Xenopus tropicalis: one gene and its partner. The protein of the gene in region 1 purifies or fractionates together with the protein of each later gene. This does not show direct contact. Links are inferred from orthologs where the notes say so. Each region holds a gene or a part of one and is shown in the gene's direction. Other genes may lie near its edges. The genes, in order: coro1a and poc1a.

Region 1 (4,454 bases):
ATGACATGGGGCAGAAAGAGATAAATGGGGCAAATTGAGATGAATAGAGGGAGATAGATATGGGGCATTCGGGGATATAGAGATGACAAGGGGCAGATAAAGATGCGTGGGGGCAGATAGACATAAGTAGGGGCAGATAGACATAAGTAGGGGCAGAGATGACATGGGGCAGATAGAGGTTAGTAGGGGCAGATAGACATAAGTAGGGGCAGAGATGACATGGGGCAGATAGAGGTTAGTAGGGGCAGATAGACATAAGTAGGGGCAGAGATGACATGGGGCAGATAGAGGTTAGTAGGGGCAGATAGACATAAGTAGGGGCAGAGATGACATGGGGCAGATAGAGATTAGTAGGGGCAGATAGACATAAGAAGGGGCAGAGATGACATGGGGCAGATAGAGATTAGTAGGGGCAGATAGACACAAGTAGGGGCAGAGATGACATGGGGCAGATAGAGATTAGTAGGGGCAGATAGACATAAGTAGGGGCAGAGATGACATGGGGCAGATAGAGGTTAGTAGGGGCAGATAGACATAAGAAGGGGCAGAGATGACATGGGGCAGATAGAGGTTAGTAGGGGTAGATAGACATAAGTAGGGGCAGAGATGACATGGGGCAGATAGAGATTAGTAGGGGCAGATAGACATAAGTAGGGGCAGAGATGACATGGGGCAGATAGAGATTAGTAGGGGCAGATAGACATAAGAAGGGGCAGAGATGACATGGGGCAGATAGAGATTAGTAGGGGCAGATAGAGATTAGTAGGGGCAGATAGACATAAGTAGGGGCAGAGATGACATGGGGCAGATAGAGATTAGTAGGGGCAGAGATGACATGGGGCAGATAGAGATTAGTAGGGGCATATAGACATAAGAAGGGGCAGAGATGACATGGGGCAGATAGAGGTTAGTAGGGGCATATAGACATAAGAAGGGGCAGAGATGACATGGGGCAGATAGAGGTTAGTAGGGGCAGATAGGGTTAAGAAGGGTGATACAGAGTTGGGGCTATTTTCCCTTTAACCCCTTGATGTTCCATGCACCCACCATCACTCTCTCTGCAGCAGTTATTAACCCTTTCCTGCCCAGTGCTTATATGCGGCCCCTCTCCCAGTATCAGGCCCCTGTCTATTAACTCCTTCCTGCCAGTGATCTACAGACTATGAGTCCATTGATACTTTCATTTCAGTGCAGAACCCCTTTAACCCCTTATTGCCAAGGGCATTGCCCCATTAACCCCTTTGTACATAAAACATCACCCTATTGGTGCTCCCCGGCCCTGGGTTTTTTGCCTTAACAAACTGCAAGGGTGCTGCAGATGATTGCGCTATTAACCCCTCCTGTGCTGGATATGAGGGAAGGGTGCAGCCCTAGTTTCCTGCCCACCCCCTGTCTCTTGCCGAGAATCTTTTAGAAAAGAAGAACTTGTGAGAGAGACAGAGAGAGAGCGAGCGAGAGCGAGAGGGCAGGAAGTGACTGGCTCTGAGCATCTGACCCACAGCACCGGGACCCACAGGTACAGTCTGGGGCAGGAGAGGGTTAATCAGGGCACAGGCTTGTGCAGGAGGGGGTTAATCAGGGCAGAAGTGCATTAATCAGGGCAAAGACTGGGGCAAATGAGGGTTAATTAGGGCACAGACTGGGGCATGTGAGGGTTAATCAAAGCACAGACTGGGGCATGTGAGGGTTAATCAAGGCACAGACTGGGGCATGTGAGGGTTAATCAAGGCACAGACTGGGGCAGTGAAAGGTTAATCAGGGCACAGACTGGGGCAGTGAAAGGTTAATCAGGGCACAGACTGGGGAAAGTGAGGGTTAATCAGGGTACAGATGGGGCTGAGAGGGTTAATCAGGGCACAGATGGGGCTGAGAGCGTTAATCAGGGCACAGACGGGGCTGAGAAGGTTAATCAGGGCACAGAGTGGGACAGTGAAAGGTTAATCAGGGCAGACGGGGCTGAGAGGGTTAATCCGGTCACAGGTCTGAGCAGGAAGGGGTTAATCAGGAAGGGCAGTAGAAGCTCATCATGCCCCAGGCTGGGGTAGGAAAGTAATTCACACCCCAAATGGGGCACAAAATGAGGGTTGGACACGGGGTCACTCTTCTCCCCTATATTTCCTCTCACTCACCTTCCTCTGTCACTCACTCTCACACTCATTCATGCACTCACTCACACTCTCTCCCACCCTCTGACTCCCTCTCATTCACTTTCACCCCATAACTCACTCTCTTCCCCTTCACTCACTCACTCTCTTCCCCTTCACTCACTCACTCTCTTCCCCTTCACTCACTCACTCTCTTCCCCTTCACTCACTCACTCTCTTCCCCTTCACTCACTCTCTTCCCCTTCACTCACTCACTCTCTTCCCCTTCACTCACTCACTCACTCACTCACTCTCTTCCCATTCACTCACTCACTCTCTTCCCCTTCACTCACTCACTCTCTTCCTCTTCACTCACTCACTCACTCACTCTCTTCCCCTTCACTCACTCACTCTCTTCCCCTTCACTCACTCACTCTCTTCCCTTTCACTCACTCACTCTCTCCTCTCACCCTGCCATCACCGTCTCCCACTCACTTTTTCCACCTCACTCACTCACTCTCTCCCCACCTTTCCTCTCAGTCTCCCCCCTCAATCCCCCTGTTGCCCCTCACTTACTGACACTCTTGCCTCCCTCACTTTCATCCCTTCTGCACTCACTCACACTCACTCTCTGGGTGCCGCACTCTGTGGCATATACTCCCACTCTTACCCCCCATGTACCACTCACTGCCTCACTCACTCTCCTGCCTCACTCACTCTCCTGCCTCACTCACTACCTCACTCTCCTGCCTCACTCACCCCAGTCTACTTGCCCCACTCATTTGCACCCCTACGCTCTGCGCTATATTTCCTCTTGCCCCTATTGCATTTGATTCCCCTCATTTTTCCCATGATCCTCTCTCCCCCCCGCAGGCCGCACCATGAGCAGGAAGGTTGTGCGCACCAGTAAGTTCCGCCATGTTTTTGGCCAAGCCGTGAAAGCCGACCAATGTTACGACGACATCCGCGTCTCCCAGAACACCTGGGACTCCAACTTCTGCTGCGTCAATCCCAAGTTCCTGGCCATCGTGGTGGAGGCCAGCGGGGGGGGCGCCTTCATGGTTCTGCCTCTCTCTAAGGTGAGTCACTCACCTGTACAGGTAGGGGAGAAAACTGAGCAAGCACTCACCCAGGAGCTGAGTGGGGCACATTGTTGTTAGTGAGTGAGAGAGGCAGGAAGTGAGTGAGGGAATACTAAATATTGGGGGAGGGGGAGGGGTAAGTGAGTTATTGGCATGTGAGTGAGCAGGGATGAGGGTGAGTGAGCTGTCAGTGTGAGTGCAGTGGGAAATTTGTAGAACACTATAGTGAGTGGGTAGGTTGTGAGGGGAGCAGGTGAGTACTGGGGGGTGAGTAGGAGCGGGGGGCGTGCACGTGTGAGTGGCTGAGCACAGAGCGGCAGGATGTGGTTGCTACAGGATGCTGAGGGCGGGAGGTGCAGGTGCGAAGTAGACACTCACAGGCAGAGAGGGACGTGCGCCGACACCAAACAGCCCCGGAGAGAGGATTTATACTGTGGCACAGTGAGAACTTAGAGCCCAGCTGAGGGGGGGAAGAAATATAGCACGCTCAGTCCACTTCCTGTGCTTTCAGGAACTATTGCTGTCTGCTTGAGAGCTCATCCTCCCAGAATTTATAGGTGTTCACCCTAAAATAAATGAGGGAGACACCAAGTGTCCCGCAGGCTGAGGTTTGTCCTGTTTGAGCTTAGTGCAGGCTGAGGTTTGTCCTGTTTGAGCTTAGTGCAGGCTGAGGTTTGTCCTGTTTGAGCTTAGTGCAGGGAGAGGTTTGTCCTGTTTGAGCCTAGTGCAGGCAGAGGTTTGTCCTGTTTGAGCTTAGTGCAGGCAGAGGTTTGTCCTATTTGAGCTTAGTGCAGGCTGAGGTTTGTCCTGTTTGAGCTAAGTCCAGGCAGAGGTTTGTCCTGTTTGAGCTTAGTGCAGGCTGAGGTTTGTCCTATTTGAGCTTAGTGCAGGCTGAGGTTTGTCCTGTTTGAGCTTAGTGCAGGCAGAGGTTTGTCCTGTTTGAGCTTAGTGCAGGCAGAGGTTTGTCCTGTTTGAGCTTAGTGCAGGCAGAGGTTTGTCCTGTTTGAGCTTAGTGCAGGCTGAGGTTTGTCCTGTTTGAGCTTAGTGCAGGCAGAAGTTTGTCCTGTTTGAGCTTAGTGCAGGCTGAGGTTTGTCCTGTTTGAGCTTAGTGCAGGCTGAGGTTTGTCCTGTTTGAGCTTAGTGCAGGCAGAGGTTCCTCCTGTTTGAGCTTAGTGCAGGCTGAGGTTTGTCCTGTTTGAGCTTAGTGCAGGCTGAGGTTTGTCCTGTTTGAGCTTAGTGCAGGCTGAGGTTTGTCCTGTTTGAGCTTAGTGCAGGCAGAGGTTCCTCC
Region 2 (4,554 bases), on another chromosome or scaffold:
TTATGTGCAGTAACCCCCCCCTAACTATACAGTGACCCCCAGAAAACCATATATTTTTGGAAAGTACACATTCTGATGAATTCAAAATAGGTAAAGTTATTTTTGTACACCAAAGTTACACCTGGCAAAGCTACGCTAAAAACAGATCAGGAACACTTATATAGGGATAAAATGTGATAAAACCACAAAATTGTGCAAATCAGTGAAACAACAAAATAAGTTACATGACAGTGTAATTAGTGGCCAGAATATCTGATCCAATAGTTACGCTGTCAAAATAAACAGTTTTTAGGTAAAAGAAAATAAAAACAAAGTGGTAATATGAAAAAAAAAAAAAAAAAAAAGCAAAACAAAAAAAAACCAAAGTGTTTGTGTATACATGTGTGTACATGTGTAAAAGTTGTGTGATAGTGTGTAAGTGTGTATATGAGTGTAAATAAGTGTATAAAAGTGTGAAAAATGAAAAAAAAAAAAAAAAAAATAAAATAAAAAAATGCTAAAATGTGTGCTGTAAGTGTGTGTAAATGTATGTAAGTGTGTATAAATGTATGTAAATGTGTGTATAAGTGTGTAAAAGTGTGTAAATGCAATTAAAAAAAAAAGTCCTTACCTGTTCCTGAAGACCGATCGCCTCCTTCGTCATTTGGGCCGGCGCTGGGGGAGAGGGAGGAAGCAGGAAGCAGCAGATGCGATGCGATCGCATCTGCTGCTTCCTGGAGGGTCCTGCGAGCGATCGGCTCGCAGGACCCTGATGACAGCCCCCCTGGCACATTGCCCAGGGGGGCTGTCATTGTTAGAAGCCCTCTGCAGCGGCGGCACATGCCGCCGCTGCAGAGGGCAGCGCTTAAACGCCAACGACGTATGAGACACGTCGTTGGCGTTTAAGCCCTTTTACTGCCAGCACGTATGCCATACGTGCTTGGCAGTAAAAGAGTTAAGGTATCCATACATGGGCAGATTTAAGCTGCTGATTCAGATAGAGCCAGCAGCTGCCCGCGTATAGGGCCCTCTGAAGAGCCTGTCCAACCAATAGCTGGGCAAAAATCAGGCAAACTTTGATCAGGCAGTTTTGAAAACTTGTATTCCTGTCGCTATGATCCAGTGGTTTGGCCTAAGGCTAAACAATCTGATCAGCCTGATGGTTGGCTTTTCAGAAAAAGATTCACTCTTTGGTGACCGTTACCTATTAAAACCCCTGCCTCTGATAAATGACCATAAAATCCTTTTCTCATCATTCAAATTGTAATTTGTTTGAATGGAGATATTGAGCTCTGTTTATGTAGAATCTCTCCTCCTTCACTAAGATGCCATTTTTGTTAGGCAATGAGATAAGAAGCAGCTTATAAAACAGAGAATGTACCTGTGGACTGTCCATTTGTTACTTACTTCTCTGCAAATGGTTACTAGGCAGAACCAGTAAGACAGACAGGGTGTTGAAAAGAAAATGTAGGGAAAATATACAAGTATGTTCGGCACAAGCTCAATTCATGCAGCTTATATTAAAAAGGGAGTGTATAGCCCCTTTAAAGGAACAAGGGAGCCCCAGAGCATAATTGCTCTTAACTAGCCCCATATTTATCGCAGCCCATTGCGTAGGATCTAAGAATGGGCTGGAGTTTTTATTTGAAGGCAGAAGTTTCCAAACTACTTTACAGAAATAACATGCCCTTTTTATTCATCTTCCAGTGCACATCTAATTCTTTTCACCTTAAGGATTATTATTATTATTATTAACATTTATTTATAAGGCGCCAACATATTCTGCAGCGCTGTACAATAAGTGGGTTTTATACATTGGACATACAGAGTAACATATAAGGCAATCAATAACCGATACAGGAGGTGAAGGGAGCCCTGCCCAAAAGAGCTTACAATCACTCATCAGTTCTCTGGAAAGCTCTGTCATTAAGAGATATACAGCATTTAAGAACCCCCCCCTGAATCTTGTAGGCAATTATGAATACTATATGGTGCTGGTTTCACTCTAGGCTTACAATGGTTTCTTACTTTAAAAATTGCCCTTTTATTGGAGAACCCATATATCTTCTCAGGTCCCAGTCAGTGTTTCAAATGAGAGTTGGGTATGTCCTAACAGTCCAGGTAGAAGCACAGTTTAAGGCACCCAGGGACAGGAGTGTATTGTCTGTCCCTATTTATATATACAGGTATGGGATCTGTTATCCAAGATACATGGGACCTGGGGGTTTCCAGACAAGGGATTTCCATTTGTAGCAATTAGTCAGCCTATTTACATAATGAGAATGATCAATTCCCTTTTATTAGCTTGGTCACCCTCTTGACATGCTTCTGCACCATTAAGCGATGGTCTTGTTGCCCCTTTCCCTTTGCATGGCAAAAGGCTCAGCACAAGGGAAATGACAGCTTTGCCATTTCCCTTATGCTGAGCAAATGGGTTAATCATATTTGACATTTATAGTGTTGATCTTTTCCATGGTAACCAATGTTTTAAACACATATTTACCATACTTCCTCACTAGGCAACAAGATCTACATATAAAGCTCCCGAACAATAAAACCCTTCCCACTGCATCATCACAGACCTGCTTTCTGTTACTTCCTTTGTCTCCCAGTCGTCAGTTCTTTGTATGGACCATTAATGGTTGAGCAGAGAAATCAAACTGTACTGCGGTTGCCTCATTCCCACTGAAACGTTCTATGAAGTGAACTGTTTATTTCACCAGTTGGAAAAACATCTGCTATTATTTTATTTATCTGTATAAAATTCCAGAGAAAGGGAAGTTTAGATAAATCTCAAAGCCACTAGCTGGCTGCAAGGGTCAGTGATCCTGGCATCATCCAGGTAGCAGCGTGCATGCCAAAGGGAAATGCTACAGAACAAAAAGTTGTGTTTGCCAGCCGACCACCACCATGAGATGCTGGAGTATGGTGTTAGTTCAGCATTCCTTAATAAGTTAGGAAACACCATTATTTATGCATTAACAGCTGAACAGAGAAGAGTCCAGTGTGGTCACTGCCATATACACCGCACAAATGTCTCTTACTCCTAAATGTCCTCATAAGATGTTTGACCAAATACTTTTGTGTTGTCTCAAGCATCCAGCTGTTGTATATTGGTTTGCTTCCATGCTACATTGTTGCACTATTAAAGGGCACCCTAAAACTGATTCCCCCCATCAAAGTTTGGAATTAAAAGAGCCCACACTCTGGTTGGGCTCCCTTTTCTTTTTTTTTTTTTTTTTTTTTTAAAATTGCTCCTCCCCAGGTGTAGGCCACCTGCACTGGGAGGGAGCTCCTGGTGTGGAAGGCATGTTGTTGTGGCACACCCGTTATGCCCTTTAAGATCAAGCAGGCTGGGGGGGGGGGGTGCGTTCCCAAACGCAGACCATTACGTTACCAACTCGTTCACAAGTCAGCAATGTTTGTCGGCCTATATATTGCCTGTATGTGCTTATTGTTCTGCCCCCCCACCTTAGCCTGCCTGACCAATATCTCAATTATTCTAGTTTTATATGAAAATGACTGTATAATTTTTAATCCATATAAAAACAAACTCTTCTTCCTTCCAGACCGTGGGGATTTTAGAGCAAAGGCTTTCTCTAACAGAAGACAAATTGAAGGAATGCATTGACAACCAGCAGGCAACTGTTTCACTCAGTCACAGTGCTACAAAAACACCATCATTTTAATCAATGCTTTGCTTTTTATTCAGGTTTTGACTTGTTGTGGAATATATATTTTTATTGTAAATATTTTAATGTATTGTTTTTAATAAAATGTTTTTGAATAAACAGCCTCCAAATGTGAGATATTAAGGTGAGGACGATTAAGATAATGAGGTTGGCCACAGAAAATCTCTGTAAAATATAGTAAAAGATGAAAGTGCTGGTCCATTAAAGAATTGAATACTTTTTATTTTAGTGGTTGCTAAATCGCCAAATGTGCTTAGGGATTTCTGTACTCGCAGTCTGACCCGGACTGGCAATCTGTGGGTTCTGGCAAATGCTGTAAGATGCCATAGACAGTCACTATTTATTGGACTGGTGGGGGGCTGTTTGGGCCTCTGTGTACCTGAAATGCTATTATGAAGCCCAGTCTGGCCCTGCTCCCAAGAAATAAAGTAGAGGAACCAGTGGCTGAAGGCAGTACATAAGACTTACTATAAAAAGTTATTAGGGGGTAATGCTATTTTTTATGGGTAGTTTTTGAGGCAGCTTGATTGGATACGGAGGACAAGTTGGGGGGCTTTGGGCTAGACTGAGACAGGAATTGTAAACCAGTTCAGGCCCAGCTCTAGAATTTGGCAAGATCCTTACGGAAGAAAGTATTGGCTCTGCTCTCTATCAGATCAATGTAGATGATACATAGGCTGTCTGTCCATAGGCTAAAGAGGAAAGCAAGCCTGCCATACCAAACACACACTGATCTAAAGAGAACAGAGAAAAGATGAATACCAAAGTCGGAGTTCTGAATGTGAGTCCATAGTGCCAGAGGCATAGGAGTGTAGCCACTTTTTGGCAGGCGCTGTCAAAGTTACTTCCGTATCATAAACAAATGTAAAGGAACTTGTAAAAA

What was found.
Region 2: the proteins of coro1a (region 1) and poc1a purify together in Homo sapiens (affinity purification with mass spectrometry; 3 studies listed by BioGRID and IntAct, counting the BioPlex papers as one, with this or other methods). This does not show direct contact. The link is inferred for Xenopus tropicalis from reciprocal best matches to the Homo sapiens genes CORO1A and POC1A.

Annotation. Positions count from the first base shown.
Region 1 is NC_030685.2:2,354,609-2,359,062, reverse strand, and holds the start of coro1a (coronin-1A), read left to right. Parts: upstream 1-1,441; 5' UTR 1,442-1,516; intron 1,517-2,957; 5' UTR 2,958-2,965; coding exon 2,966-3,163; intron 3,164-4,454. UniProt on the Homo sapiens protein: May be a crucial component of the cytoskeleton of highly motile cells, functioning both in the invagination of large pieces of plasma membrane, as well as in forming protrusions of the plasma membrane involved in cell locomotion.
Region 2 is NC_030680.2:128,787,938-128,792,491, reverse strand, and holds the end of poc1a (POC1 centriolar protein homolog A), read left to right. Parts: intron 1-3,548; coding exon 3,549-3,668; 3' UTR 3,669-3,770; downstream 3,771-4,554.